7 linked regions of the Danio rerio genome follow. The protein of the gene in region 1 interacts with the protein of each later gene in a biochemical or structural test. Links are inferred from orthologs where the notes say so. Each region holds a gene or a part of one and is shown in the gene's direction. Other genes may lie near its edges.

Region 1 (4,814 bases):
CCGTCTAACTAACCAAATTAAAATAAATAAATAAATAAATTTAACTTAGCATACCATATTATTATTATTGGCGACGCAGTGGTGCAGTAGGTTCGAGCCTCGGCTGGGTCAGCTGGCATTTTTGTGTGGAGTTTGCATGTTCTCCCCGCATTCGCGTGGGTTTTCTCCAGGTGCTCCAAAGCAGTCAAAAGACATGCTGTACATGTGAATTGGGTAGGCTAAATTGACCGTAGTGTATCTGTGTAAATGAGTGTGTATGGATGTTTCCCAGTGACCGGTTGCAGCTGGAAGGGCATTCACTGCGTAAAACATATGCTGGAAAAGTTAGCAATTCATTCCACTGTGGCAACCCTGGATTAATAAAGGGACTAAGCCGAAAAGAAAAGAAATAGATGAATAAATGAATAAGCACTTGCACAGATAAATAAATAAATAAATAAATAAATAAATACCTTAACACAGTATATTAATATTATTTAGAAATAATGTCATGGTACTAAAACCATGCACAAATAAATATGCAAAAATGCAGTGACAGCTGAGTTCCTAAGTGTTTAATGTTTTTACAAGGACTTGCATAAATAAATAAATCTGTTAAGATACCGCGGTAAAGTTAGTTTGACATTTGACATTCATAAAACATTCGGTTTCAAACCAAATAAATTCTTTGCTCCTGTTATAGTTTAAGCCAAAATATGTCAGCCAGACATAAATATGTGCCCTTTATGTTGCACAAAGCTTAACTTCTTAATTAAAAATAAATTAATTAACCATACGAATAAATTAAACAATTCAACCATATTAAATTATACTATAAAATAAGGACCAACATGTTCAGAAAAAACAACCTGGTTTATTTAATTTATTTTTTAATAATTTAAAAAATACTTTTAATGTAAAAATGATAAAAGTCAATTAAACTATCACACCTTTTGAGATAATAGAATAAAGTCAACTCAAAAAATGACTAAATATTTTATGGTGCACAACCTTTTTGGTTTTTTTACAGTTTTGCCTTTGTTGATTTTATATACAGTAATGAATCCATATTTTCATTAAGTTAAATACACTGTAAACACTTACATGAATTAAACACTATTTGAGACATGAACATTCAAATAGAAACCACAACTATGCCATGTCTATCAAGATCTTTCAGTGAACACCATGGATGATTGTACTACTTTCCCTGTCAAACAGCGCCATCTCGTGAAAGAACAAGCCTATAAATAATCTTAAGAAATCTATTACTGGCTCACCTTGACGTATAGACACACATATCTAGTCTTTCGCTCTTTATATTAGTAAAATACCGCGCAGTGCACACCTTTGTATAAAGAAGCATTGAATAATCCAGATAGACGCGCGCGTCGTCACGTGACGGGGTCGCGCAGATACGTCACTCCGACATGGAGCCTGTGCTGGTGGCGGACCTTTGGTCACCCGGTTGAGATGGAGCAAAGTTTATTAAAACGGCGAAAAGCTGATCTCAGATTCCGTTAAAACTGACATCTAGAAGCATTCCCTGTGATCATAACACGGTAAGATATTAGTGACACACACCTATAGAGGACAGTATGGCTTTAAACCAGCCGTGTTTTGGTAACGCGTTACCGTTAGCTTGTTTGACCGGTGACTGACTACTGGACTCTAGCAGGTGATGTTTTGACAGCTCGTTACTGTACCTTAACTATAGTCTGAAACGATTTACAACGGCCAGTTTTCATTTTCCATTTGATATATGCATGTAGCTTACGTGTAAACATCCGTCTGTTGTTATGCTGAATTTTGTAGCTGCGACACCGACAGTCAGTAACGTTATGTGACGTCACTGCTCTCAAAAGTACTGTAACTGTATGTGTGTTATAACACAACGATGGTATGTACATAAAACTGACCTGTCGTCTTTATCCAAGGCACTGAATGTATATATCACGACATTTACATAGTAACTGTTATGCCATTATAGTTCCATGCAATTGTGTGCACAATTAATGTCTGTTCATGATATAGGCTACCATCTGATGTCATTTCATGGCGCTTTTTAATGTCTTTATACTTTCCAAATTATAAAAAAGTAAGATACAGCAGGTCAACATGGTTACAGAAAGACATTTCTAAAAAGCAGTTTGAATATGAGTTATTTATTTAATCATGCACTAATTTCTGTACATTTCCACACAGTAATCTTTTATTTATTGGTTTAAATAAAATATTGAAATTTAAAAAGATGAATTTTTAGTACAATGTTTAAAGATAGGGCAGCACGATTGCTCTGAGTTTCCTCCAAGTGCTCCGGTTTTCCCCACAAGTCCAAAGACATGCACTATAGGTGAATTGTGTAGGCTGATTTGTCCATTATCTATGTGTGTTAATGAGTGTGTGTGTGTGTTTTCCAGTAATAGGTTGCAGCTGGAACGCCATCCGCTGCATAAAACATGTGCTGGATAAGTTTATTCCGCTGTGGCGGCCCCAGATTAATAAAGAGACTAAGCCGATAGGAAAATAAATGAATGAATGAATGTTTAAAGATATGTATTGTAGCACATTGGACATTTTAATGCACGTTTAAATGCCTATTTAAGAAACTGGAATGTTTCTGACTTAGTGCATGAAAAGCTCACATCCCCTAAAGAAATGTACTTTAAGATTTTGACGGTAGAATAACCTTGGATAAAAGTATCACAGTATCACGGTATTTGATTACTGCCCTAAAATATATTATTTTTAAATGTCTGGGTAAAAAACTAAAACTTGTTTCCCCTTTGAAAACGATATATTTTATTTTCTGAAAGATTTATAATATTTTGAAGCAGTAAACAAGTCAGGCTAAATAATTAAAAGAAATCATTGACTTCTGCTGTTTTAAAAACACAGATTTCTTTACAATTTAAAACGACATCCTTGGACATTTTTTTTTTTGCTGGAGATAGTGTTGTCCTAAAAAAATGTTAGTAAAAATCCTACACATACCTTATGAACAGTATTACAGAAAATGTTGGCGGTTTTAAAACCTTGACTTTTCCAAACCGCAGTATATTTTGAAAACAGTTATCGTCCCATGCCTACTACAGACACAAATATAAATATATATATATATATATATATATATATATATATATATATATATATATATATATATATATATATATATATATATATATATAAAGTGAACACTTAAAAGTATGTTGTCTCTTTAGTAATCTGAAGCAGTCCAAAAATTGATCAGTATATAAAAATCAAGGATTTGCCTGTAGCGTTCAGTCTTAATATATTCAAAACCCCAATAAACAAGTGTTATTCAACGGTTGCAGATTTGTGAAAATCATTTCCTGACAATTGATGAAGTGCTTAAAAATCGTTATAATTCTTTATGTGGTTAACTAACCTCTCTGACAGATTGCTGATATTAGCCGCCACCCTGATTCACTGGCAGGCAGAATTAAACTTGAAAAAGTTAATGATGCATTAGATGAAACTCAAACCTGTTACCATGAATAATAGTTCATTGGTTGATCAATAAACCCCTCAGAATTGTCAGTGTGGAGCTGAAGAAATTAACCAGGCATTAAGACAATGTTTAAACCTTTTAACAGATAATTACTGACAAAAAAAATCTCATATTTGTTTATTGTTTACATATCAAGTTTTTAAGTATAAGACTTGAATAGTCTGCACTCTGCAGGCTGCTGTATGTTTTCATGCTTTTATGCTCTTATTGGAGTTTGACAACAGCAGCACCTATTAAACTTTCATTGTAGTGCAAAGAATGAGAATTATTTATTCCATTTTTTTCCCACAACAGTTGTTGTTTTTTTGGTGAAGATGTTTCTTACAGAGTTAAGGGCTGTTCATATCAAGCATTGCAGCTATAAAGATAATGACAAATCAAATCAAACAACTTTTATTGTCACATCATCAGCAGCATGTGTACTATGATGAGTGAAAAGCTTAGGTGCTGGCTCTGCGTTTCAAAGATTATTTTTAAAAACATACAATCACCCATCCGCTGCATAAAACATGTGCTGGATAAGTTGGCGGTTCATTCCGCTGTGGCGACCCCAGAATAATAATTGGTCTAAGCCGAAAAAAAAATGAATGAATGAATGAATATACAATCATCGGTCACTATTAGGTACACCTTATTAGTGCCTGGTTGGACCCACTTTTGCCTTCAGAACTGCCTCAATCCTTCATGGCAGAAATTCAACAAGGTGCTGGAAATATTCCTCAGTAATTTTGCTCCATATTGACATGATAGCATCACACAGTTGCTGCAGATTTGTCGGCTGCACATTCATGATGCCAATCTCCCGTTCCACCACATCCCAAAGGTGCTCTATTAGATTGAGATCTGGTGACTGTGGAGGCCATTTGAGTGCAGTGAACTCATTGTCAGATTCAAGAAACCAGTCTGAGATGATTCACGCTTTATGACATGGTGTGTTATCCTGCTGGAAGTAGCCATCAGAAGATGGAAACACTGTGCTCATAAAGGGATGGACATGGTCAGCAACAATACTCAGGTAGGCTGTGGTGTTCACACGATGCTTAATTGGTACTAATGAGCACAAAGTGTGCCAAGAAAATCTCCCCCACACCATTACCACTACCAGCAGCCTAAACCTCTGATACAAGGCAGGATGGATCCATGCTTTCATGTTGCTGACGCCAAATTCTGACCCGAGCATCTGAATGTGTCAGCAGAAATGGAGACTCATCAGAGCAGGCAACGTTTCTCCAATCTTCTATTGTCCAGTTTTGGTGAGTCTGTGTGAATTGTAGCCTCAGTTTCCTGTTCTTAGCTGACAGGA
Region 2 (4,154 bases), on another chromosome or scaffold:
AAAATGAAAGTTTATTAACGTGTAATTCTCAGTCGTTTGATCTGCAATGCCCCAACAATTGATTAATAAACCAGTAAGTAACAGTTAAAAAAAAAGTTGCAGCTGAACCTAATCTTGCACTTACTCTTGGTAACATTTAAATGCCTTCTTGTATTTGAATATAAATTGGCAATCACAAAGTACTTACACATTTCAATTTATTTCGATATGAAAGCAGATATCCAATGTGTGACTCCTGTTCTGTACATTTTTTTTAACTGCTGGGAAACCTTCTAGAAGATATTTAAATAGACAGAAATCTTTAGTCAAGGATGAGACACATTTTGAAGTCTGATTCAAATTACATGCAGTGTTTTTACATGCATAGAAAGCATATTAAAATGTTAGCTTTAATATTAATAATAATCTTTTAATAAATGTTGCAATAATGCCCCAAAGGGTGGCACGGTGGCTCTGTGGTTAGCACTGTCACCTCACAGCAAGAAGGTCACTGGTTCGGGTCCCGGCTGGGCCAGTTGGCATTTCTGTGTGCAGTTTGTATGTTCTCTCTGTGTTGGTGTGGGTTTCTTCCGGGTGCTCCGAATTCCTTTATAGTCCAAAGACATGCGTGATAGGTGAATTTAATAAGCTAAATTGGCCATGGTGTATAAGAGTGTGTGTCAATGAGAATGTATGGGTGTTTCCCAGTACTGGGTTGGGGCGACATGCTCTGCATAAAACATATGCTGGAGTACTTGGCAGTTCAATCCCCTGTGATGACCTCTGAAATAGACTAAGCTGAAGGAAAATGAATGAATAATGCATATATTAGGTTAAGAATAAAAGCTTATCAACTACATTTTGTGGTATTTTAAATTATTAAAAACGTCATCCTAATACATGAGTTGGTAAAAGAAAACTGGCAAAGATTTACAATTTTTTTTTTATATAGAGGCAACAAATGATTCCTGTTTTAAATGTTATAGACAAGATGTTTTTGTTTCTGAACATTTGTTACATTGAAAGACGTGATGAATGGAGAAAAAGGAAAGAATATTAATTGTACTCATTTTTTACTCTTGAGTCTCTTCAGTCCCACCTCAATTTCAGATTATTGTTCATTGATGACAATTCTGAGTGCATTAACAAGGCAAAGAAGATCATTCAGAATTTAATATCAACTCGCAGCAAATAAATATATCATAAATTAAAATGAGTTTTGTCATCTTTTTCAGGTGCGGTTTATTACTAAGATCTGGCATCCCAATATAAGTTCTGTTACCGGGGCGATATGTTTGGACATTTTAAAAGACCAGTGGTGAGTGCTTCATTATCATGACTCATCATTTAATTTAATGGTTCAACTAAAAATGAAAACTGATTCAAAGTTAACTCCAAATTAAGTAGTTCCTAACTTTAATGGGTTTCTGTTTTCTGTTGAACACAAAATACAATATCATGAAAATGTTGAAAACCTGTTGACATCCATAGTTGCAAAAACAAATACTAGGGATGTCAGTGGTTACTGGTTTCCATTATTCTTCCAAATATCTTGAATTGTGTTCAACAGAAAAAGGAATGTCCATCAGCTTTTAAACAAGTGGAGGCTGAGTGAATGATAGCAGCATTTTCATTTTGGGTGAACGAACCCTTCAATAATTTTGACACTGCTCTTTCTTTCTCTCCTTCCTGTTCCCTTTTCAAATGATTGTGTCTTCATATCCTGTGCACAGGGCTGCTGCTATGACTCTGCGAACAGTTCTGCTCTCACTACAGGCTCTGTTAGCTGCAGCAGAGCCCGATGATCCACAGGACGCTGTGGTAGCCAATCAGGTACAGTCAAATATGCACTGTCAGTGGCTGCGTTCGAAATCACATACTACTCGAGTAGGTTATTCATCTGAATTTACCTCATGATAGTTAGAAAGGTACGTTTTAAATAGTACAATGCGTGAGTATTATGAATGATTAGAATCATAACTAAAACCTTAATATGTGAAATAAAAAAACATTATCTTTTAACTTTTATTGAATGTGTAAAATGCAAATCTAATTAGATTCACTTTATTTGGTAAACAAAGCAAGTCTCTCGTATATCTACTAAAAGACTGAAAATATGCACTGTATAAAAATCAAGTGAATATTTTCATATTAGTCAATTTTACTGTTATTGATTAAAAACTGAATATAGATTTACAAACATTTACACAAGTAAATAAACAATTAATGATGGGCTAAAAGTCTGCGGAAATAAACAGAATTAATGATGGGCTAAAAACCTGCGGAATTTTGCGCGCACAGATTTCGTGTGGGCCTACACATGACCTACCTGCGTCAGTTGATTTGCTTTGTCCATTCATTAATTTCTCTTACGTGTGGCATCATGGGATAGCGTTGCATCTATTTGATGTGCACTACAGCACTAAGCAATAAGTACTTTTCTTGGGAAGAAGTTTGTTTTGTTTCTAGTCCAAATATCTACATTGCACACACTGAGGAAGGCATTGTGCCGAAACGTTGAATCAAACGTAGAATGTAAAAATAAAAACAGTACGAAGCAATTACTTGATAAGTGCGAATCATTTCCTTTTTGAATAATAGCATTGACAAGATTGATGCACCAAAGAAGTTTCTTTTAAAAATGAGCATGTAGGCCAAACTTCATTAGTCCAAATATCTAAAAATTTCGAAATCACAAAGCATTTTCTAGACAAGCAAAGCATATTGTATTGTCCTGTTTTCCCTTTTGACATAAGATTATTTTGCTTAGCCCACTGGCAGATTATTTAACTTTTTTTTTTACCTTAATTTTGACATATTTCTTAAAACAAGACAGTATGTTTTGCTTGTTTAGAAAATGCTTCTTGATTTTTAAAACTTTTTGGATATTTCGACTGGAAACAAAACAAAGCCGGAGTAGGTAGTAGGTCCTCTGGGTAGGCATGGGCCAGTATAAGATTCTGACGGTATAATAACCTTGGATAAAAATATTAAGGTTTTCATGCTGTTGTGTTTATTATGTTCTTTATATTTCTTCTACTTATAGTTTCACATTTGAAAAGGCATCTTTGGATAATTTTCTTATCTTTGGATATAAATAAGGGTCCATAGCATGCTTGGATGTTGGCGTATAAATGATTTGGTTTTCAGATGTGGGCTGACCAGTAGCTTTTGATGTGGATGTTCCTTTTCTGCTGGAGATACTGTTCCCCTAAAATACTAAATAAAATGGCAGTAAAAGCACTTAACTTGTATATAACGTAAGAATGGTATAACAGAAAATTTAAGCGAATTTAAAAATTTTTTAAATTATTTTTTTTTTAATCTTGAAAACGGTTATTGTCCCATGGCTACCTCCGTGTATTTCTTCACGTATTACTTATTTAGACACACTGCTATATCACAGGGAAGTATGCGATTTCGGATGCAGCCCGTGTCTCTGTCTAAATGAGAATATTGCATGACAATGTGGCTTTGTAAACCTTTTAACAACGTCACTGTTGTCTTTTTTTTTTTTGCAGTATAAGCAGAATCCAGAAATGTTCAAACAAACTGCTCGTCTCTGGTCTCACGTTTACGCTGGTGCTCCTGTGTCCAGTCCAGAGTACACACGCAAAATAGACAAACTTTGTGCAATGGGCTTTGACAAAGTAAGTACTGAATAGTGGCAAAATAAAAAGATGCACTGACTAAAGCAGGGTTTGGCAACTTTGTGACATGTGGTATTATTGGCTTTGTGACATGTGGCACTATTGGCACATTACTTGTTGGAAATTCAAAATGTCCAAAGCTATTGAGGTTCTAATCCTGTCCTGTGTTGTGTTTAGCATGCTGGCTTTTGACTGGCAACTGCTAGTAAAAAAGATTTACTTGTTGGAGATTTCTATCTATCGGTTGTTGATTAATTAAATGGTGGCAGAGCTATATATATATATATATATATATATAATGTATACTAAAATCATTTCATATGTTTAAAACTGGGAAATGAGTAGCACCTGCGGGTTTGATAGATTTGCTATTTATTTCTTACCATTTAACACTTGTATTCTTTTAATACCATAAATTAATTTTTGTCATTGGCCCATGTAAAAACCATTCTTTAAAACAAGATTAATATCATGCACTTAAAAACTGTTTGTTTAATTAACTAATTAATAATTTTTTTTAATAGA
Region 3 (4,154 bases), on another chromosome or scaffold:
GTACAGTGAACTCATTGTCGTGTTCAGTCTGAGATGATTGAGCTTTATGACATGCTGCGTTATCCTGCTGGAAGTAGCCATCAGAAGATGGAGACACTGTGCTCATAAAGGGATGGACATGGTCAGCAGAAATACTCAGGTAGGCTGTGGCGTTGATGCTCAATTGGTACTAATGGACCCAAAGAAAATCTCCCCCACACCATTACACCACCACCACCAGCCTGAACCGCTGATACAAGGCAGGATGATCCATGCTTTCATGTTGCTGAGGCCAAATTGTGAGCCGAGCATCCGAATGTGTCAGCAGAAATGGAGACTCATCAGAGCAGCAACGTTTCTCCAATCTTCTATTGTCCAGTTTTGGTGAGTCTGTGTGAATTGTAGCCTCAGTTTCCTGTTCTTAGCTGACAGGAGCAGCACCCGGTGTGCTCTTCTGCTGCTGTAGCCCATCCGCCTCAAGGTTGGACGTGTTGTGTGTTCAGAGATGCTCTTCTGCAGAGCTCGGTTGTAACGAGTGCTTATTTGAGTTACTGTTGCCTTTCTATCAGCTGGAACCAGTCTGGCCATTCTCCTCTGACCTCTGGCCTCATCAACAAGTCATTTGCGCCCACAGAACTGCCGCTCACTGGATATTTCCTCTTTGTTGGACCATTCTCTGTAAACCCTAGAGATGGTTGTGCGTGAAAATCCCAGTAGATCAGCAGTTTCTGAAATCAACAACCATGCCACGTTCAAAGTCACTTAAATCCTCTTTCTTCCCCATTCTGATGTTCGCTTTGAACTGCAGCAGATTATCTTGACCATCTTGACTACATGCCTAAATGCATTGAGTTGCTGCCATGTGATTGGCTGATTGGAAATTTGCGTTAACGAGCAGTTGAAGAGCTGTACCTAATAAAGTGGCCGGCGAGTGTATATCATAGATACATTATCAAAAAAAAAATTTGATACATACAGAAATAGGAAAATGACTAATATGATTATAAAAACAATAACCTCTCTCTCTCTCAGACTCAGATTTAGTGATAAGCAGCTCTTCCGGCGGCTCCTGTAACCCAGTGGTGGTGACTCTGGCGGGCCCCAATGGCTCCTCATCTCCTCCTCTGCCCATGGCTCCGCTGGGCCTGCAGGACGGAAATCCTCATGTCATCCCGCGCCGGCACGCTCCTGTGGAGGCTCTCGCTCGCCAAGGCTCCTTCAGGGGCTTCCCGGCGCTCAGCCAAAAGACATCGCCCTTTAAGCGGCAGATGTCGCTGCGCATGAACGAGCTGCCCTCCACCATGCAGCGCAAGTCTGACTTCCCCATCAAAAACACTGGTAATGCCCCATCAGCAGCTACATTTTCATCATATTTAAAAAAAACAACTTGTTCACACCAAACACGGAATTAGGTTACACTTTTAAATTGCATACAAGTCAATTCAAACGGGAAAACAGAAACCGATGCGGATTAATGTTCCATGGGGCAAACATCATCTACTGTTAAAAACTAGCCTAGAGCGCCATCTGCTGTTAAACTAGCCTAGAGCACCATCTGCTGGTAAACTATCCTAAAGCGTCGTCTGCTGTTAAACTAGCCTAGAGCACTGTCTGCTGTTAATAACTCGCCTAAAGCGCCATCTACTATTAAAATCTAGCCTAGAGCACTGTCTACTATTAAAATCTAGCCTAGAGCACTGTCTACTATTAAAATCTAGCCTAGAGCACTGTCTGCTGTTAAACTAGCCTAGAGCGCCATCTACTGTTAAAAACTAGCCTGGAGCGCCGTCTGCTGTTAAACTAGCCTAGAGCGCCATCTACTATTAAAAACTAGCCTAGAGCGCCATCTACTCTTAAAACTAGCCTAGAGCGCCATCTACTCTTAAAACTAGCCTAGAGCGCCATCTACAATTAAAAACTAGCCTAGAGCGCCATCTGCTGTTAAACTAGCTTAGAGCGCCATCTGCTGTTAAACTAGCTTAGAGCGCCATCTGCTGTTAAACTAGCTTAGAGCACCATCTGCTGTTAAACTAGCTTAGAGCGCCATCTGCTGTTAAACTAGCTTAGAGCGCCATCTGCTGTTAAACTAGCCTAGAGCGCCGTCTGCTGTTAAACTAGCCTAGAGCGCCGTCTGCTGTTAAACTAGCCTAGAGCGCCATCTACTCTTAAAACTAGCCTAGAGTGTTGTCTGCTGTAAAACTAGCCTAGAGCGCCATCTGCTGTTAAACTAGCCTAGAGCGCCATCTACTCTTAAAACTAGCCTAGAGCGCCATCTACTCTTAAAACTAGCCTAGAGCGCCGTCTGCTGTTAAACTAGCCTAGAGCGCCGTCTGCTGTTAAACTAGCCTAGAGCGCTGTCTGCTGTTAAACTAGCCTAGAGCGTTGTCTGCTGTTAAACTAGCCTAGAGTGTTGTCTGCTGTTAAACTAGCCTAGAGCGCTATCTACTATTAAAACAAGCCTAAAGCGCCATCTACTCTTAAAACTAGCCTAGAGCACCAACTACTATTAAAATAACAGCCTGGAAAAGGGACATCCTTCTGTCTGTGTGACGATGCTGTAGTTTTCATTAGATGATATAAATGTGTGTGTGTGTGTGTGTGTGTGTGTGTGTGTGTGTGTGTGTGTGTGTGTGTGTGTTTGTGTGTGTGTGTGTCAGTGCCGGAGGTGGAGGGTGAGGTGGACAGCATCAGCTCTCTGTGCACTCAGATCACGTCCACCTTCAGCGGGCCTCCTGAAGACCCCTTCTCCTCTGCACCCATGCCCAAACCAGCCTCCTCACCACAATCACCTGCCGCTCCAGGTCAGTGTGTGTGTGTATATTACAGCTTACATCAATGCTTACTCCTTCACTAGTCTGCTGTTGGCTGTTTATCAATTTTAAACCAGCGTGTGGTTCATTACTACATCCCTGTAGAGTAGTGGCAGAGCTAATCAGCTAGTCTTTGCAACCCCTAGTGTGTGTGTGTGTGTGTGTGTGTGAACGCCTGCGTGTGTGTATGTGTCCGGCTTTGTCTCTAATCTTCTGGTCCTGTCTGCTGCTGTAGTTAATGGCGCAGTTCCTGCCTTCCCTCCGCCTAGCGTCACTGTAACCACTGCAGCTAACTCACCTGTGCTGCCGCCACCACCGTTGCCCGTCCGCGAGACTAACCCCTGGGCCAAAGCCCCAAACACAGCCCCGGCACACGCAGCACACACAGGTAAGAGCACAGGCTTCCTGCTGGCCATGCAGAACAAGCGCTCACTAATGCATCTTGCTTTCAGTGTTAGGGGCCGACCACACCAATTGCGTTTTTTGCGTTGAATGATTTACTAACGGCCGCGAGCGTTTTGCATGCTGATGATGAACCTGCGCACCTCGTCCTTTAACCGCCTGCTGCTCCTCAAGTTTTTGCTGTTGCGCTCTGTGTGCTCGCAGGTCAACTCTGAGCGGGAAAAGCGCGTTACGTCAGTCGCGTCTGTTTCATTGTCCAATCAAATGAAAGCAGAGGCGGGATTTCCATCGAGGTGCCTGCAGTGTTTGTGTTGTCATGATGACTATGGAGACATTTGAAGATGGAGGAGAGACGTGTGGTTGTTATTTCGAGTTAGCCAGTGCTGAATGACTCACAGATCTTGAATGTCACAATATTAAAAATTACAATTATAACAATATCAACAGCAACACTCGTGCGCAAAACTCAGCTGATTCAGTGGTTGCCTAGCGACAAAAATATTGACAAATAGACATTGGATGCATCTGAAACCGCCCACTACTCAGTAGGTACTGCATTTGTTTTTAAACGTACTACTCAGCCGTTAGAAAAGTACGTTCTATACAGTATGAATGTGAAAAGTATGAACGGAATTCGGACGTAATACATCCGCCATTTTGTCATGGTCACGTGACCTACCTGCGTCAGTTGCGTCACTTCACTCCCATTCATGAATTATCTTGCGGGGCATCATGGGATAGCGCAGCATGCATGGGATGCACACTCCAGAATCTCGCCGGAAGTAGTAGGTCATCTGAGTACTTCTCGTATACTGAGTTTTAAATTCTACGAATTCGTACATACTACTCTGCTCGCATACTGATCTTAGCGTACTATATAGTATGGAAGTATACGGTTTTGGACGCAACCATTAACTGTTTCTCAATACCAAGTACGCAAAGTTCGGACTTGTGTCCTTGGAA
Region 4 (4,783 bases), on another chromosome or scaffold:
GAATAAGCTAAATTGGCCTTAGTTTATGAGTGTGTGAATTTGATGGTGTTATGGGTGTTACCCAGTACTGGGTTGTGGCTGGAAGGCCATCCGCTGTGTAAAACATATGCCGGAATAGTTGGCGGTTCATTTGGCTGTGGCGACTGCTGATAAATAAGTGACAAAGCCAAAGTAAAATTAACAAATGAATGATCTTTAAATACTATTGATTTTTAGTACTTTGTTGATGATGAATAAAAATTAATTATACATGTTTCCACAAACCTTAAATCCAGTAATAAAATAACATTTTTGTTGTAGTTTTAATTAGAGTAAAAACAAAGTCTCATCTTTCAAATGATTTTACTATTTTTGTCTTTTTTTTTTTTTGCCAAATATGTGAGAACATGCAAACTCAACACAGAAATGCCAACTGACTTTCTTTTTTGAGCTTTAAGGGGGCTTTTTTAAAGAGTTTACCCAGAAATTAGTTAAAGAGTTATAGTCTTGACAGTAATTAGTCGCTTTCAATTTGATAAAGTGTCAACTAAAAATAGTACCATTCAGAGTGAAATAAAATGTTATAAAACATCTATATCCACCAATTATTCTTATTCCTCTGAAGTTAAAACATTGGAATGGTATTGTCTAAATAAAATATATAAACACATACAGTTAAAGTCAGAATTTAGATTTTTTTTTCTTTTTTTAAATTTTTCTGAAATTATGTTTAACAGAGCAAGTAGATTTTAACAGTATGTCTGATAATATTTTTTCTTCTGGTAAAAATCTTATTTGTTTTATTTAGACTAGAATAAAAGCAGTTTTTAGTTTTTTAAAAACCATTTTAAGGTCATAATTACTGGCCCTTTTAAGCTATTTTTTTTTTTTGATAGTCTACAGAACAAACCATCGTTATACAATAACTTGCCTAATTAACCTATCCTGCCTAGTTAACCTAATTAACCTAGTTAAGCCTTTAAATGTCACTTTAATCTGAATACTAGTTTCTTGAAAAATATCTAGTAAAACATTATTTACGGTCATCATTATACTGTCATGTTATTAAAGATAAGTTATTAAAACTATCGTGTTTAGAAATGTTGAAAAAAACTCTGATAAACAGAAATTGGGGGAAAATATACATAAGGGGGCTAGTAATTCTGACATGGCATATCTGTAATTTTGAACGATTGTCATTGTATGCTCTGAATGACAACATGTTTATTTTACATTTAAGAAATTTCAGTAAAAATCACTGAAACAATCAGTAGCTAGCAGGAAAAAAAAACGGAAACTGAGAAATACGAATTCCCATATGGTATTTAAACAAGAAAAGCAATGAAGATATGAAAGACGACCCCTTTTTCTCCGGATTAACTTGGATGGATTTTTACCTCCGAATTGCACTTTAATCATCATGACATCGATTTGGTTATAATGTAGTAGTCACTCAGTTTAGTTATTCCTCCAATCTGTTCTTCAGGGGAAAGGGGAAAGTCGTGCGTTTTATTTTTCAAACTGACAATTTTACAATTGAAGTGAACTATGCCTTTAAATCGGCCTAATGCGGTCAAGTTTAAAGGCTTTAAACCCCTGTTGTTGGTGTTGTAAGTCTGCAATCTAATTGGGTGACGAGTATCCACTAATAGCGCCCTTACTACTGAAGACGCCTACTGATTGGTGGATTCTGTGCGGAGGCGGGACTTAGAATGACTGCCTGAAAGGCAACATTGCCTGAGTCGCCATTGAGAGCGAGCGCATATTTGATATTGTGGAAATTATCTCCTGGAAGGCTAACCAGTGTGTTTACTATTAAGACGAAGAGAAAGGGACAGCATTACATAAAGAGGCTTTAAATCAAAAAGACGTGTTTCACAGGTTTAGACTGTGTGAATTTATACAAACATCGTTTCATATCCGCGTATGACACTTTTTCCAGGCTTCTTTGTGTCGACAATGGTTTGTTTTTCTCCGTCAGGATCTCTCATGGTGATCGGATCGTTGTAAATGAATGATAGAGGGTTTTGTCGTCCTGTTTAAAGGGACAGAAGTCTGGTTGGAGTGATTAAGGGCGGAAGGGATAGGAAGGATTTCAACATTTAGACAACAAGGAGTTTGGAAAGGAGATGGGGAATTGTCTGAAATCTCCCACTTCGGATGATATCTCCTTGCTCCACGAATCCCAGTCAGACAGGGCCAGTTTCGGTGACGCCAACGATCCAGATCAGGAACCGCCACCTCCGTATCAGGTAAGCTTATAAAAACCATTAGAATACACAAAGAAACTTTGCTTTTGACTAATATAACGTGCCTTGTGTCCACCCTCCTGCTTCAATCATAACATGAACACTCGCAATTCATAATATCAAGCAAATAGACGTAAATATATCACCAACAGCAAGCTCCCGCAGGAGCTCCATCTGTTTAATTTCGCCCTAGAGTGTGTGCCATACTAAATCCTCTTTGTTCGACGTAAACTTGGCCTGCAGTTCACGTCAGACCATCCAGACAGATGGACAGTCTGTTATTTCATCTTTACTGCCGCCTCCGTGGCGTGTTGATTCACCAGCAGCAGCTTTATTGCGATAAAGGTAACCATTCTGGTTGTGACGATTCTTGTTTGCAGTTGTGACGTCATGTCGATGTTATTCTCCTTGCTCGAGTGTTACACAAACCTTTTAAAATATTCTGTTTTCTTCTCTTCACAGACTGTAAGGGCAAACTATATGTATTTAATTTAAATATTACTAATACTGATGTTGTACACATACACAATGTTACTACCTCACTATATATATATTTTTGCAAACTTCCGGGAAGAGAGCTTAAAAATGCTTATAATATGACAATGGGCTGCTCTACATTGTCCTTTAGTCAGAAGTGTTGGGAAGCCTTGCACTCGGGGATTTCCCCATTTTACGGACATGTGGAATCAGTTGAGGTCTAAGTCATGAGATCATGATATTTTAAAGTGATGTCATGCTTTACAAAACATAGTTCAAATGGAAGAACTGGGTTGGCCAGGGTCTTTTTGTTGGATGAAACAAACCATGTCGAAGCAGATAAACTTGTGTAGCACCGTAAGTGAACGTTTTATGTCCAGTCACTGTGTTTTGTAAGAAGCAACATGACTCAGAAGATGTCTGATCTGAAATGTTTGCAACTGTGGTGGCTGTTACATCCTCTTGTTGTGTTGACCTTATCTGTTTTACAAGAACTCTCCAACAAACTGATTGAGGTAAAATTGGTTTAATATTTAGACATTCAGACTTTCGCATTAATAATATAATTTCTGAAAATTAGTCTTTGCAAATCCTAAATAGTGAAATTATATTAGCAGCCAATGACTATTGAAGTACAACATTGTTCAGAGTCAAATAAGTAGTGATAATGTTGTTTAAAGTCATACTTGCGTGTGATTTCAGACCCAATGTTCAAAGTACCATAGTAAACATTATAAGAAGTGTGTCACAAGTAAGTTGTCACTGAAATAATGTGCAAATACAAAACCAACTTTACATTTATAACAAATAATAGTGAGCCGTTGACCGAAGCACAGATAATCTTGTATGCATCTTGAAAGCACACACAGTAATTTCCTCACAACTGATGTGACATAATATAATCTTATTAAGCAAAAGGAACATTCTCTTCAGTCTTAGTTTCAGTTTTTTTCAGCTGAAGGTGGGACGTTAAGTGCTGGACTACTTTCATTTATCAGTTGTGCTAACATTGTTGTCCAATTCATACATTCAAAACATGATTCAAAAATACACATATCCAATTTGTAAGTTTGAAACACGGTTCAGGCGAAGCAGTGGCGCAGAAGGGAGTGCTGTCGCCTCACAGCAAGAAGGTTGCTGGGTCGCTGGTTTGAGCCTCGGCTCCGTTTCTGTGTGGAGTTTGCATGTTCTCCCTGCGTTCGCGTGGGTTTCCTCCGGGTGCTCCGGTTTCCCCCACAGTCCAAAGACATGCGGTACAGGTGAATTGGGTAGTCTAAATTGTCCGTAGTGTATGAGTGTGTGTGTGTGAATGTGTGTGTGGATGTTTCCCAGAGATGGGTTGTGGCTGGAAGGGTATCCGAGGCGTAAAAACTTGCTGGATAAGTTGGCGATTCATTCTGCTGTGCGACCCCAGATTAATAAAGGGACTAAGCCGACAAGAAAGAAATGAAACACGGTTTAAAAATACACAATATATGAATTCCAAATATGATTTAAAAATACACTAATCCAACTCATACATTTGCAACATGATGTAAAAATACACAAATCCAATTCGTAAGTTAGAAACTTAGTTTAAGAATACACAATTCATACATTCGAAACATGATTCAAAAACACATGTCCAATTTGTAAGTTTGAAACACGGTTCAAAAATACACAATATATGAATTCCAAATACGATTTAAAAACACACAAATCCAATTTGTAAATTCAAAACATGATTTAAAAATACACTAATCCAATTCATACATTTGAAACACGATTAAAAAATACACAAATCCAATTCGTAAATTCAAAAGACAATTAAAAAATACACAAATCCAATTTGTAAAAAATACACAAATCTATATAGAAAATTTGAAACAAGATTAAAAAATACACAAATTCAATTCATACATTCAAAACACCATTCAGAAATGCAAAAATCCAATTCATAAGTTTAAAACATCATTCAAAAATACACATCCAATTTGTAAATGCGAAGCACGATTCAAAAATGCACAAATCCAATTTGTAAATTCAAAACACTACGTCATTAGCAGTGATGTCATGCACATTGCATATTTAGCTTATAT
Region 5 (4,591 bases), on another chromosome or scaffold:
TGTTTATTTTAAGCTGAAACATAACATAGACTTCTCCTACATCAAATAGGATAAAATAGGAGCTCTTTAAAATAAAGTGTGACCCATTGTTTTATTCTACATAAACGACTATAAATAACCTTTTTTTATTTATGTAAGAGTGAAGGCTTGAGTTTCCTGCTACATTTTTTCCCAGGTACAGTTTGACATGATGCACAGAGACATCTGCTGAAACTGATGTATAATGAGCCATTCTAGATTCTGGAGTCCATGGAAAATACTTTTGCCCTGACATAGGTAGAAGCTTGCAGAGCATTTCAACTGACTGCCTTAAACCACCTGGATCAGCTAAATGAAATGGCCGAAGTGGATACCTGACCTCTGTCAATCCAGCTGCAAGTTTGCTGTCTGAGCTGTTCCTTATGACAGACTGCTGTGGATGAGCACTACAAGGGCAGAATGACAATTTTAATATTATGCAAATAGGTAATATTAACTGCTGATAGATAACATAAACTTGAAATACATAAGATGTCATAGCAGTGTTTCACAAAACTGGTCCCTATTTTTTCTAATAAGCAACTAAAAAGTTCTGTCTGGTCTTTTAACAGGTAGTCATGCAAAATTTGCAGAGATGGGAGTACTTTGTGAGACACATTTTTAACCACTGTATTATATAATTGATTAAATTGTACTGTTTTATAATGTTACAAATTGTACATGTTGTACATGTTGTCTTAATGTAACACTGGTGGTTACTGTACATTCCTGTTTAAGAATGATAAGTAATTTTAATCTTTTATGAAGGTTGATGTTGCTGATTTCTTGGAATCTTTGTGTGCAGATGTTGGCTGCAATGCCTATGCCTATTACAGCAAGGCAACAGGTTTATGACACTGGGATATCTGGACACACTTTACAAAAAGTTTCCATTAGTTAATTTTAGTTCACGTGTTTACAAACATGAATGAACAAAACATGTACAGCATTTATTAATAATCAGCATTTTCATAATTTACAAATGCATTATTAAAATCCAAAGCTGTGCTTATTACCATTAGTTAATGCACTGTGATCTACCTTTATTTAAAGTAACTAATGTTAACAAAGATAAATACTGTGATAAGCATATTGTTTATGATAGTAAACACATAAACTAACTTAAACTATTGAAACCCTATTATAAAGTGTTACCAGATAGCTTTAGGACCATCCAACCACCTGATCCAGAAAGTGTTGGCTGACAATCTAAATATATTAAATCACATCCCCACTATAGAGAGAGAGCATTTTTTACGACAAAATTTCAGTGTTCCCTAGAGTCCCCCTGTCTGCCATTTTTCTTCTTCTTAATATTATTATTAGTATTGATTATTATATATATATATATATATATATATATATATATATATATATATATATATATATACGGTACGGTTTCTCCCCTGACCTGTCTTGAATGTACCTGTTGGCGTAACGCCTTTTTGAATTAACCTTGAAGGTTCCCCTGGAGGAGGGGCTCAGCTGTAATCCGTGGGGAGGCGGAACCTGACGCGTGATGTCACAGCCTCGTCATCATCAGCTGCTATAATCAGCCTACTCGTGTGGTGATTCCCAGTGTACGAGGGTTTATTTCTGAACGTCTCTCATCCCCGTATCTCTGAACATATTTACATCTCATCCAGGGGTTAGAAGAATAGCACTAGTCCAATCGGAACCATGTCTGTAGCGGGACTGAAGAAACAATTCCACAAAGCCACTCAGGTAAGATGCAACGGTACATGAATTCAGCATTCTGTTCTGTTGACCATTACGAGCCTGAAAATGGGTTTGCTGCAGTGCTACAGCAGACAGAACAGCTTGTGTCCTGAATCGTAATGCGGCTCTTCACTCTGAACAGCGTGTGCTTTATTCAACGCACCGTAATATAAACAAATGAAGGCACTATATGTTGCCATCGGGCTAGTCGCTGTCAAAGCATTTCGTTCAGATGTTAGGATGAAGGATGTTCTGTGTTTTTTTTCCGTGCTCTTATCAGCACCGTTGAAATGAAAACGCGTGAACATCAATATTTTAAGATGCGTAGATAAGGGCTGTTACATAATAGCTCATATCCTTAAATTGACCTCGATGCCCTCTAAAGCAGTCGTGATGCTGTGACACTTTAAATCCACGATGCCAAAGCCACCACATATAGGCTTTAGGTCCAATTTTATGGAATTGGAATTTTTGCCATTTTATATATATATATATATATATATATATATATATATATATATATATATATATATATATATATATATATATATATATTTTATTTTATTTTTATTTTTTTTCATATTAGCCCCCTAAATCTGGTTGAATTTTAATTTCAACTATTATCATTATTTTCTGTGTATGTGTAAATTTCTGTATGTTTGTGTCAGTGGACATAAAACTAGATTTAATCTCTGGTTACCTTGTGAGGCTGCATTACTCTTGGTTCTCCATCTAGTGTCCTTGTTTAAAGATTCACCTTGCATTAATAGAGGAATGAGAGATGCATGTCTCACTGTAATTTTGTGTAGACATAATTTGGGATTTAAATTGTGCCATTTTGAAGTATACAATCTCAAACGCGGAAAAACATGACTCCAGCATCCCTTTACATTGTTCTTAACATGAAATTCTTTGACTTGCATAGCTGCCTGACATTAAACAACATAATCTGTCTCATTCTGACCAATCGTCAGGCTGTGACATCATCAGTGCACGCTGCAGAGTGGAGAGGGTGGCATGACTCAGAGCTGCTCTGTAGAACAGATGGTTCCTCAAACACACTGCTCCATCTCACAGCTTGCTGTGTACTTTATACACAGCCTTCTTGCAGTCGTGACAAAATATAGTGCCTGCTCTGTGAAATGCAGAGGCAGGTTTAACTAGTTTTACCTCCATTATTTATTCTTGGAAATTTAATTGCATAGTAAATACTTGCTTGTATTTGAACCATAGGTTTGCCCATTACTAACCAAACAAAATAAAATGTAATAAAAATAAAAACAAAAACTATAGCATTCAGATTATATTCAAATTGTGTACCTGAATAGGCCATGAGAGACAACAAGCATTTGTTTATAAGGTATTTTGTTCATGAGCACTTAGTTTTAAAATGACAAACAAAAAAACAAAGCATTTCCAGCACTCTAACACTTTAGTTCACACCATCTGGCTTTTTAGCCAATTGTGATTTGTTGCACAAAACTGAGGTGAGATTTCATGAAAACTGTCTTTGACTATTCTGTTTGGCTGTATGTAATTATGCAGAGATTTTGTAAGTGTCTTATGAAAGTGATTTTTATTTGAGTATACACAAAGACCACACACACACACACACATTCTGTTTTCATCAACTATGAATTTATTTTGAGCCTATGTACAGAAAATGTCATTTCTGTTTTATTACATGTAATAGATGAAAATTATGCAATCAGAGAACATCTTTCTTGATTTTTTTTACCATTGGGTGTTTTGAAATGGTTGATCACAGTGTCACAAATTCGTGTTGTTGTTTTTTTCATTTGTGAGCAGTAGTGTACTTGGACATGTAGAGATTTCTTTAGCTTCTATCTCTAGGTTTCTTTGATGTAAGGCACTATTTATGCATCACAGCGCCTGTCCCAAACATGGCTGATGTTTTTTTCTGCTTTCCCCTATTACAAATTCTGGACGTTGCTTACTGCAGTGCACACATTTTTCTGTTGAAGTTTTTGTCAGCTGTACCACATACTTGGCAGGCCAGTGTTTTTAAAATGACCCTAAACAGTGGGACATTTTACCACCTAAAGAATGAGATGTTTTTCCCTTACAAATATTAAAATATATTGTTTTATTGTTGTGTGTTTTAGCACATCGCTTCCTGCACTTGAACAGTATGTTCAAGATTATCAGTAAAATGCTTATCAAAAATGCTAAGTAAAATGCTAAGTTATCAGTAAAATGCTAAGTTTTTAAATGCTAATCAAATTGTGAGCTGTCTATTGTCCATCTTCACAGAAATGAAGACTATTTCAAATTGTAGAGAGCAGATTATACACCCTCCTAAAATAGTACTTTCAGGATGGAATGCCTTTTGTAGTGTTAAATAGGTGAGCCTGTTGTAAGGTGAGTACATAGTCACTGAAAAAAACATGCACTGGCAAGCTAGTTAATAGTACAGTGCCTAGTGCAGGTAACTGGTGATCAGCCCCTATCTGGCCTCAGGAGGAGATGGCTCCGGTTCAGAAAATGCAGCAGTGCTCAAAATGGGTAAAACATTTGTTCCAGCTGATTTACCTCAGATGGCAGATTTAGTTCCAGATGGCAGAGGGGCAAAAGCCTCTGAGAGAGAAAGGCCCTGCACAGTTTGGTAGAGAATAGGGAAGTAGACATTTGTTAGTTTTAAAGTGCTTTCACCCATATACTAACTTATATTATTTGGCTATAAATATAGTAATTATAACAAACGATGTGTTAACGGTTAACTAACTCTATCTATTGTTGCAACACCAAAACATAGAATATTCAAATTTTATAAGCTCATTAACTTTATATCATAAGCCTACTATCTTTAAATGATTTCCTAAGCCTACTTTGG
Region 6 (4,154 bases), on another chromosome or scaffold:
TGTGGTCGTTAAAAATCCCAGGACGTCCTTCGAAGAGTAGGGGTTTAAGGCCAAATCTGCCCACTGGCCTCTGTCCATCATGGCCTCCTAACCATTCCCATATCATAATTGGCATATCATCTCTCTGTCTCCTCTCCACCAAAGCAGCTGGTGTGTGTTGTGCGGTCTGGTGCAATATGGCTGCCGTCGTGTCATCCAGGTGGATGCTGCACACTGGTGGTGGATGAGGAGATCCCCCTCTATTGTGTAAAGCGCTTTGTTTGTCTAGAAAAGTGCTATACAAATGTAAGGAATTAATATATATATAAATTCTGTTAAGATGTTGAGTGATACATCAATCAAAATGACTAAAAGTTAAACTTTGTATAACTTTAAAAAATTATTTGAAACCTGATCAACTTATAAAAATAAGTTAAAGCAGCATAAAAATATTTGTTGTCTCGACCAATTGATTTTATGTTTACAATGAGTTAAGTAGTTGTTGAGATGACTAGAAAAGTTCATTTGATTCAACTTAAAAAGTTAAATCAGCAAGATTTTTTAGTGTACTAAAACATTTATTAAAATATGTTCACTAATTGGTGATGCAGTGGCACAGTAGGGAGTGCTGTCGCTCACAGCAAGAAGGTTGCTGGTTCGAGCCTCGGCTGGGTCAGTTGGTGTTTCTGTGTGGAGTTTGCATGTTCTCTCTGTGTTCGCGTGGGTTTCCTCCGCATACTCTGGTTTCCCCCACAGTCCAAAGACATGCGTTGCAGGTAAATTGGGTAGGCTAAATTGTCCGAACTGTTTGAGTGTGAATGAGAGTGTATGGATGTTTCCCAGAGATGAGTTGCCGTTGAAAGGGCAGCTGCTGTGTAAAACACGTGCTTGATAAGTTGGCGGTTCATTCCACTGTGGCGACCCTGGATTAATAAAGGGACTAAGCCGACAAGAAAATGAATGATAAATGAATGTTTATTAATTGTACGTATAAAAGACAACTTAAATGTTAAAAGATCAACTAAGTATAAATAAGATTAAATAAAAATGTAAAGTTGAAGTGCAAAAAAAGCTTACATGAAGCTAAATAGAAATTGAAAACATTAAAGAATATTAAATAATTTATATATAAATTATAATATATATTAAATAAAAATAAAAAAACTACTAAAAATGTGAATGGGCGGCACGGAGGCTCAGTGGTTTGAGTTCTGGCTAGGTCAGTTGGCATTTCTGTGTGTAGTTTGCATGTTCTCCCCGTGTTGGTGTGGGTTTCCTCTGGGTGCTCCTGTTTCCCCCACAGTCCAAGCACATGTGCTATAGGTGAATTGGCCACTAAATTGGCCATAATGTCTGAGTGTATGAACGTGAGAGTGTATGGGTGTTTCCCAGCTCTGGGCTGCGGCTGGAAGGGCATCCGCTGTGTAAAACATATGCTGGAATAGTTGGCGGTTCATTCCGCTGTAGCAACCCCTGGTAAATAAGGGACTAAGCTGAAGGAAAATTAATGATTGAATAAATGAATGAACGAATGAATATACATTCATTCATTCATTCATTTTCTTGTCGGCTTAGTCCCTTTATTAATTCGGGGTCGCCACAGAGGAATGAACCGCCAACTTATCCAGCAATTTTGTTTTGCGCAGCGGATGCCGCTCCAGCTGCAACTCATCTCTGGGAAACATCCACACACACACACTCATACACTACGGACAACTTGGCCTACCCAATGCACCTGTACCGCATGTCTTTGGACTGTGGGGGAAACCGGAGCACCCGGAGGAAACCCACGCGAAAGAAGGGAGAACATGCAAACTCCACACAGAAATGTCAACTGAGCCGAGGTTCGAACCAGTGACCTTCTTGCTGTGAGGCGACAGCACTACCTATTGTGCCACTGCCTCGCCTGAATAAACATAAATTAACTAAAAATAAAAAATGTAAAAAAAGGCAGTTTCGTATACCATGTGAACAGACAAAAGTAATCAGATCAAGACTCTTCTTGAATTTTGATTTCAATCAAATGTAGAGTCCTGGTTTGAGTTAATCTGAACATGAAAAGGAAGCACACATGTACTTGTGTGGAAGTAAACAGATCTACAGTATAGCATGTACTGTAAATATACTGTAAATACAAGTGTGTTTGCATTATTGTTCCAGGTGGTTGGGAAGGATCTGCAACCTTCAAGCTGATCTTTAGCGCTGGAGGAGCGATCGAGTTTGGTCAGCGCATGTTACATGTGGCAGAGCAGGGTACGTTTGTGCTCAACCAGTTTCAAAATAAGAGTCTCATCATTAAGCAGTCAAACTGATGTGGATGTGCATGACCTCTCTTTCTTTACCTCAGCATCCAGAGGGCAACCGGTGACTGTAAACTTCGGCTGTCCTTACATGGCGAACGGTGCGTACGCTTTTCCTCCACCTCCTCCTGCTAACGGCATGTATCCTGCCGGGCCTCCTCCACCTGGATACGCCTACCCTGGACCTCCACCTCCAGGTAATAACATGCACTTAAAGTCCACATCAACTGGAAGCTGCGACCGTTTTTCTTTCAAATTGTGACGCAGTTCCTAGAAAAACAGAATATTAAACGAGCAAACAGTGGGCGTGGCTTGTTTTTTCTTCTGCGATCTGATTGGATGTAGAAAAATTGGTGTTTCATTCTGAAAGATGGTGAAAAGAGTTTGGGGAGCATTATTACAACCTCACAGTCTCCTCCTTACCATGTTATTTTGTGTGCTTTAGGTGGGTTTTACCCCAGTCCTCCTGTGTTTGATGGACCAGCAGCCTACATGCCTCCTCCTCCATACACTGCTCCAGTGGATCATGCTCCGCTCGACCCAGACCTGCCCAGAACCGCTGCTGGTATGACCCACTTCTAGAAGATGCTGAACTTCTGCAGCCGGATTCTTAAAGGGATAGTTCACGCAAAAAAAGAAATTTGTTTACCATTTATTTGCACTCAAGTGGCTCTAAAGCTGGAATTATACTTGTGCCTGGCGCCGCATCGCGCACCTTTGCTGACTGCGTGCGCACCTCGCAAAACGGATGAGGCTTTTATACTCGCCGCGTTCGCCGTTGTGATAATCTTTAAAACGACAGGGGCGGTCAAAAGAAACCCACCCTAAAATCAGACGAATAAACAGAGAAGTTTCTGGAAGTACGTCATATCATAATGTCGTTCAATATTTTTAAACTAATTATTTTGTATTGTTTTTATAAAGTATTTTAATGATTATAAGCATTTTTATAACCATTTAAGTCTTTTTTAATCAAACTTTAATGCATCACTTGCTTTTGTCCATAACTCGGACAGTTTTACTTTTTAAAGCTTCACAAGAGAACATGAGTTCCTCTACAAATATATCTTTATTATGGCAAGAATAAAAGCAAAAAATAAAAAGTACACTTACTAAAAAAATACAGATTTATTTTTTTTTGGATTTAGCCCGATCCATAAACATACGTTAGTGTAAAAGCTATGACTGATGGAAAAACATATTCTGTAATTGTATACCTGAGTCTTCAATTTTGCCATGATTTCTTTCGGCATAAACAAACTTATCCCTCAGGTTTTTCCAATTTTTTTAGCATAAACTTTCCTCCTTTCCCACTGCTGTTGTTATTTCTAGCAAATTATTATTGGTCATCACTTGCTTTTGTTTATATCTCGAACAGTTATACCTATTACAATTTATTAAAATATTAATGACAACAGAACTTGAGTCGCTCTACAAATAAATGTTTTATTATCGCAAAAATAAAAGCAAAAAAAAAGCACACTGACTAAAAAATACAGATGTTACACAAAAATACACAATTCACACATTACTGTCTGGCTAGTTTCTGTCCTCTACTTATGCTAAAAAGGAAATGATGGTCCAACATTCCTGACCATTATCACCAGTAAAGCCCAGAGAAGCAGGCCATCAGTATATCTATTCCTTTCCAGTTATCAAAAATAATTTTATGACTTCATCATAGTTTTGTAACTATTAAATAGTTTTTAATACAAAATTAAACTAAATACATGCGTGTAAAAACCTATGACTGGTGGAAAAACATTCTGTAATTGTGTACATTTTGTCATGGCCTCTCTTGGTTTTCAAAAACTTATCCTTCAGGTTTTTCCAAACCTTTTAACAAAAACTTTCTCCTTTCCCACTGCTGTTGCA
Region 7 (4,154 bases), on another chromosome or scaffold:
ACTCTGGTTCATTCAACTCATTTCTTACCTTGTCTAGTTATAAATGACCCAAGAACTGTTAAGTGAGACCTAGGTTAGTAAATGCTGACTGTGCATATTTAGAATAGTTCGACAAACTATTTGTTAATTTGTGCTTTCAATTTCTCAGAAGAAATAGATTGTTAAATGTCCCCAAAACAACTTTGATGAAAACCACCCACACTAAACATCCTGTTCATCTTACGAAGGGAGGGCCCACAATTCCCTATTGTACCAGATTGGACTTCTGCAGATCCCACATGTGATTTCTCCACAGTGGTGTGTGTGTGGCACAGAGAATGGCCATTTCCATAAGCCTGTAATTTTTTACCTCTAAGTGATGGCATTTCCCGATTCAGCCTTTATTTCTGGGAAGTAACATTTGCTCTTGACATCACAGTGTCGTCAGTTTCCAGCCCCCATGTCTCTTCAGGGATCCCAACTCACTTGTTTGTTTTTCCTCTTCCTGTCTTTTTTTCATTCGTGTTTCTTTCTATTTTTTCCCTCTGCCTCTTTCTATGTCTGTCTGTGCCTCGCTGATTCTCATTTTACATTGCTCTTTTTTCTCTCTCTTTTAGATCTACAGCCAGTGACATACTGTGAACCAGCATTTTGGTGCTCTATTTCCTACTACGAATTGAACCAGCGAGTAGGAGAAACTTTCCATGCCTCACAGCCCTCTTTAACAGTAGATGGCTTCACAGACCCGTCCAACTCAGAGCGTTTTTGTCTCGGACTGCTGTCCAATGTGAACCGAAACGCTGCTGTGGAGCTCACACGCAGACACATTGGTACACACACATTTGTCTCAAATACCTATTTATAACACAAACTGATTTAAAATGGCTTTTACTTATAGTAATGTGTTTGATTTCCTTACTTATGTGACAATCTTTTGTTTTCGCAGGCCGGGGTGTGCGTTTGTATTACATTGGAGGTGAAGTGTTTGCAGAGTGTCTAAGTGACAGCGCCATTTTTGTTCAGAGTCCCAACTGCAATCAGCGTTACGGCTGGCACCCCGCTACTGTTTGCAAGATTCCACCTGGTGAGATAAAACTAAAGACTCTCAATGAACAGCTCTCAAGATAAAACAAGGGACCCTCTGTGAATAGCTATCATCAACAGAGAATCTACTAAGTTCATGAATAGTTAAATTGAAAAAGGGAACCGAGTCATTAATGATGGTTCCTTGACTTTGGCCGGGTTTTCATCCTAACGTGAAGTGAAAGAAGAAAAAAAATAACAGATGTAAATTAGGTCAGTTTCCATCAAGCTTGTAGAGCGGCCAACATAGTGACCAAAAGTAAACAAGGCACGCATTATGAGGGTGTAATGTTTGCTACGCCCGATGGGTTTTAAGATTTGCATCATTCGTTTCTCATGTGATACTTCAGAATGTGCATTAACAAAATGGAGATAGAAACCCAGCTATTGTGCCAGACAGTGTTGGTATAATTAGTTAGAAAGTACAAATAATAGTAAGGGATTACTTTTCATTTTCAGGTAATTTATTTAGTTACTTTTACGGGTGTGATGAAATGCTAACTCCATGAGATGAGACACGAAATTGGGTTTACGAGACGAGACAAGATTCTTATACAATTTTTTGGAATTCTCAATGATGAAATATATGAATGACAAATAGTCTTTTATTCAACTGAAAAAAAAATCACAACATGCAAAACTATTTAGTTGCTTATTAAAATAAAACTTGTAATGAATGTTATTTTACTTATATTTTAATGAGTTATGGCATAAAGGACATGCAAACCCTGCAAAATATTTTGCTATAAAGTACTGACTGGACAAACTTTGAGCTAGCAGTTTTAATGAAATTAGATACCGCACGCCGAATTAAATGTGTGTCTCCAAGAGTTTACTTTGTTCAAAGCACTTAATTTACAGTTCTAATCCAATCCTGCCTCCAATTTTTAGTGCCAAATTCACCCACACGCTCAACTATAACATCGCAACTAACAAGACAACTTTTCACCTCAAAGAGAAATCTCATTGCGATTTAATCTCATGAGATCTTGTAGCCCGAGATCTCGTCACACCCCTAGTTACTTACAATATACTTTCCTTTAATAGTGAACATAAAATTAGCTGTTCTGTATAAATCACGTTAAAAGTAATTTTGTATTTGTTATACAAATATAGTTTACAGAATAATTAAATTTTTCAACTAAAGAAGGTTACATTTATTAAGACAGTTGCACATAATAACAAATTGAGTGAGAAATTAGTTCATGAAAATATAGGGTATGAATAAAGAGAAGTAGAGTAATTGTGTGCTTTTGCTTGATAACTCGATTTTTCAACTAAAGATTGTTCGATTCAGTGTTGTCACGATACTGGAATTCAGTACCGATCAAAACTTCCATTTCCTACTAACATTTAAGCGATGTGGAGCTAAAACAGCACTGATTTGCCATTGTTTTCATGTGTTCAACAGAAATGACTGTGGTTGGTCATGAAGGTCATTAGTTCACCGAACTCACCGATGTTTATTAAGTGTAAACTGGAGTGTTTCAAAGTGACGTCAATAAGCTGGTATGTCTATAAGCTGACATACGAGCAGTACACAGTTGAATCGCGGCTTTAAAATGGTCCAGTGCTCCTGTATCTGTGTTTACACTCAGTAAACAGCTGTGAGTTTGGTGAACTGATGACCTTCATGACCAATCACATTCATTTCTGTTGAGCATGTGAACACAATGGCAAATCAGTGGTGTTTAAGAACATGTTCAAAAGCGCTCAAATGTTTGCGGGAAACGTACGTTTTTAAAATTGATTAGTATCAAATTCCAGTATTGTGACAACACTAGTTTAATTTGTCCAACAATTTTAATAAAAATCTTTGAATTAAAAAAAAAAATTGTTGTTTTATTTTTGTATTGATCCATTTAATGTTAAATATTTTAAATGTTAATATCTAAAAAAAAAGGTCCTGTTTGGCTCAGATTAAAAAGTTTAATTTCAATTGTCCATTAATGCGGTAAGACTTATATGAATATTTAGTAGTACCGAGTCAAGTAATTAAATTACCTTTCAGACAAAGTGACTGCAAAAGTAATTTAAATATAATTTTACTGATGTGATTAATTAACTACTTTTTTGAAGCAACTAACTCAACACTAACACCAAATCAGTTTAGCCGTTTTAGTTTAGTTTGTTATTGATATATGAACTTTGCTTTGTGTCCATCCAGGCTGTAATCTGAAGATCTTTAATAATCAGGAGTTTGCAGCCCTGTTGGCCCAGTCTGTGAATCAGGGCTTTGAGGCTGTATACCAGCTCACACGCATGTGCACCATTCGCATGAGCTTTGTGAAGGGCTGGGGAGCCGAGTACAGGTATGATTTCTGAAATTACTTCCTTCTTATCTATCATCTTGCCTACCACTCCTGGAATGTGGCCTTGATTTGACTCACTCAAAGACTTTTACCTCACTTGTGAAGTGGTGTTACCCAAAACCACAGAAGCCTCTTTTGCTTCCTGTTAAATTCTTTGATTTCTGATTTGTCGTAATCAGTTTTTGTAGAAAGTAGCTGCTGAATAATAAATGGAATAATTGTAGTAATGATTGTTTTTGCATTTAGATTGCTTTAATTTGATTTCAATGGTAGAACTTGATTAGGTCTTAATATTAGCAGTGCAACAAATTAATTTTGGAAATTACTGATAATTCATAGGCTAGTGTTGATAACTGATGATGGTTGATAAACAGATATTCTTAGAATGATTATAGTACTGAAGATATGTCATGGCATTACGTGTTACATGTATTTAAAAAAAATATATATATATATATATTCACTGAATATTTATTTCCCAAAATAATTATCTAAACAATCTAAACTAATCAAGGTGCATTTGATGATGTGAGATGTAGAAATAAAGTGAAAACTAACATCTGTCAACAACAAAAAAATACTTTTTATGTGGAAAAATACTTCATATAATATGTACATTTACAGAACATGTTAATAGTTTTCTCTACAAATTATTCAGGAACCTTTCCCATATTGCTCTCCAAAAGCGCTTTAAATTCTTAAAATTAACCACATGGATTTAGCTAGATCAATATTAGACTTATCAGAAAAAGGCATACAAAGTCTTTCAAATGGCAATAT

What was found.
Region 2: the proteins of itcha (region 1) and ube2kb form a complex in vitro, tested with the Homo sapiens proteins (2 studies listed by BioGRID). The link is inferred for Danio rerio from reciprocal best matches to the Homo sapiens genes ITCH and UBE2K.
Region 3: the proteins of itcha (region 1) and numb form a complex in vitro, tested with the Homo sapiens proteins (3 studies listed by BioGRID). The link is inferred for Danio rerio from reciprocal best matches to the Homo sapiens genes ITCH and NUMB.
Region 4: the proteins of itcha (region 1) and rnf11b form a complex in vitro, tested with the Homo sapiens proteins (2 studies listed by BioGRID and IntAct). The link is inferred for Danio rerio from reciprocal best matches to the Homo sapiens genes ITCH and RNF11.
Region 5: the proteins of itcha (region 1) and sh3gl2a form a complex in vitro, tested with the Homo sapiens proteins (2 studies listed by BioGRID, with this or other methods). The link is inferred for Danio rerio from reciprocal best matches to the Homo sapiens genes ITCH and SH3GL2.
Region 6: the proteins of itcha (region 1) and wbp2 form a complex in vitro, tested with the Homo sapiens proteins (2 studies listed by BioGRID). The link is inferred for Danio rerio from reciprocal best matches to the Homo sapiens genes ITCH and WBP2.
Region 7: the proteins of itcha (region 1) and smad3a form a complex in vitro, tested with the Homo sapiens proteins (2 studies listed by BioGRID and IntAct, with this or other methods). The link is inferred for Danio rerio from reciprocal best matches to the Homo sapiens genes ITCH and SMAD3.

Annotation. Positions count from the first base shown.
Region 1 is NC_133181.1:60,242,858-60,247,671, reverse strand, and holds the start of itcha (itchy E3 ubiquitin protein ligase a), read left to right. Parts: upstream 1-1,493; 5' UTR 1,494-1,541; intron 1,542-4,814. UniProt on the Homo sapiens protein: Acts as an Acts as an E3 ubiquitin-protein ligase which accepts ubiquitin from an E2 ubiquitin-conjugating enzyme in the form of a thioester and then directly transfers the ubiquitin to targeted substrates.
Region 2 is NC_133176.1:24,900,317-24,904,470, forward strand, and holds part of ube2kb (ubiquitin-conjugating enzyme E2Kb (UBC1 homolog, yeast)), read left to right. Parts: intron 1-1,214; coding exon 1,215-1,297; intron 1,298-1,712; coding exon 1,713-1,812; intron 1,813-3,500; coding exon 3,501-3,629; intron 3,630-4,154. UniProt on the Homo sapiens protein: Accepts ubiquitin from the E1 complex and catalyzes its covalent attachment to other proteins. In vitro, in the presence or in the absence of BRCA1-BARD1 E3 ubiquitin-protein ligase complex, catalyzes the synthesis of 'Lys-48'-linked polyubiquitin chains.
Region 3 is NC_133192.1:57,926,645-57,930,798, reverse strand, and holds part of numb (protein numb homolog), read left to right. Parts: intron 1-1,011; coding exon 1,012-1,317; intron 1,318-2,636; coding exon 2,637-2,780; intron 2,781-3,024; coding exon 3,025-3,177; intron 3,178-4,154. UniProt on the Homo sapiens protein: Regulates clathrin-mediated receptor endocytosis. Plays a role in the process of neurogenesis.
Region 4 is NC_133183.1:18,241,306-18,246,088, reverse strand, and holds the start of rnf11b (RING finger protein 11b), read left to right. Parts: upstream 1-1,680; 5' UTR 1,681-2,108; coding exon 2,109-2,231; intron 2,232-4,783. UniProt on the Homo sapiens protein: Essential component of a ubiquitin-editing protein complex, comprising also TNFAIP3, ITCH and TAX1BP1, that ensures the transient nature of inflammatory signaling pathways. Promotes the association of TNFAIP3 to RIPK1 after TNF stimulation.
Region 5 is NC_133176.1:28,419,451-28,424,041, reverse strand, and holds the start of sh3gl2a (SH3 domain containing GRB2 like 2a, endophilin A1), read left to right. Parts: upstream 1-1,596; 5' UTR 1,597-1,698; coding exon 1,699-1,743; intron 1,744-4,591. UniProt on the Homo sapiens protein: Implicated in synaptic vesicle endocytosis. May recruit other proteins to membranes with high curvature. Required for BDNF-dependent dendrite outgrowth.
Region 6 is NC_133187.1:47,462,084-47,466,237, forward strand, and holds part of wbp2 (WW domain-binding protein 2), read left to right. Parts: intron 1-2,139; coding exon 2,140-2,232; intron 2,233-2,321; exon of another isoform or gene 2,322-2,326; coding exon 2,327-2,476; exon of another isoform or gene 2,477-2,549; intron 2,550-2,702; exon of another isoform or gene 2,703-2,724; coding exon 2,725-2,844; exon of another isoform or gene 2,845-4,154. UniProt on the Homo sapiens protein: Acts as a transcriptional coactivator of estrogen and progesterone receptors (ESR1 and PGR) upon hormone activation. In presence of estrogen, binds to ESR1-responsive promoters. Synergizes with YAP1 to enhance PGR activity.
Region 7 is NC_133182.1:34,192,191-34,196,344, reverse strand, and holds part of smad3a (mothers against decapentaplegic homolog 3a), read left to right. Parts: intron 1-596; coding exon 597-809; intron 810-925; coding exon 926-1,063; exon of another isoform or gene 1,064-2,382; intron 2,383-2,674; exon of another isoform or gene 2,675-3,229; coding exon 3,230-3,374; intron 3,375-4,154. UniProt on the Homo sapiens protein: Receptor-regulated SMAD (R-SMAD) that is an intracellular signal transducer and transcriptional modulator activated by TGF-beta (transforming growth factor) and activin type 1 receptor kinases.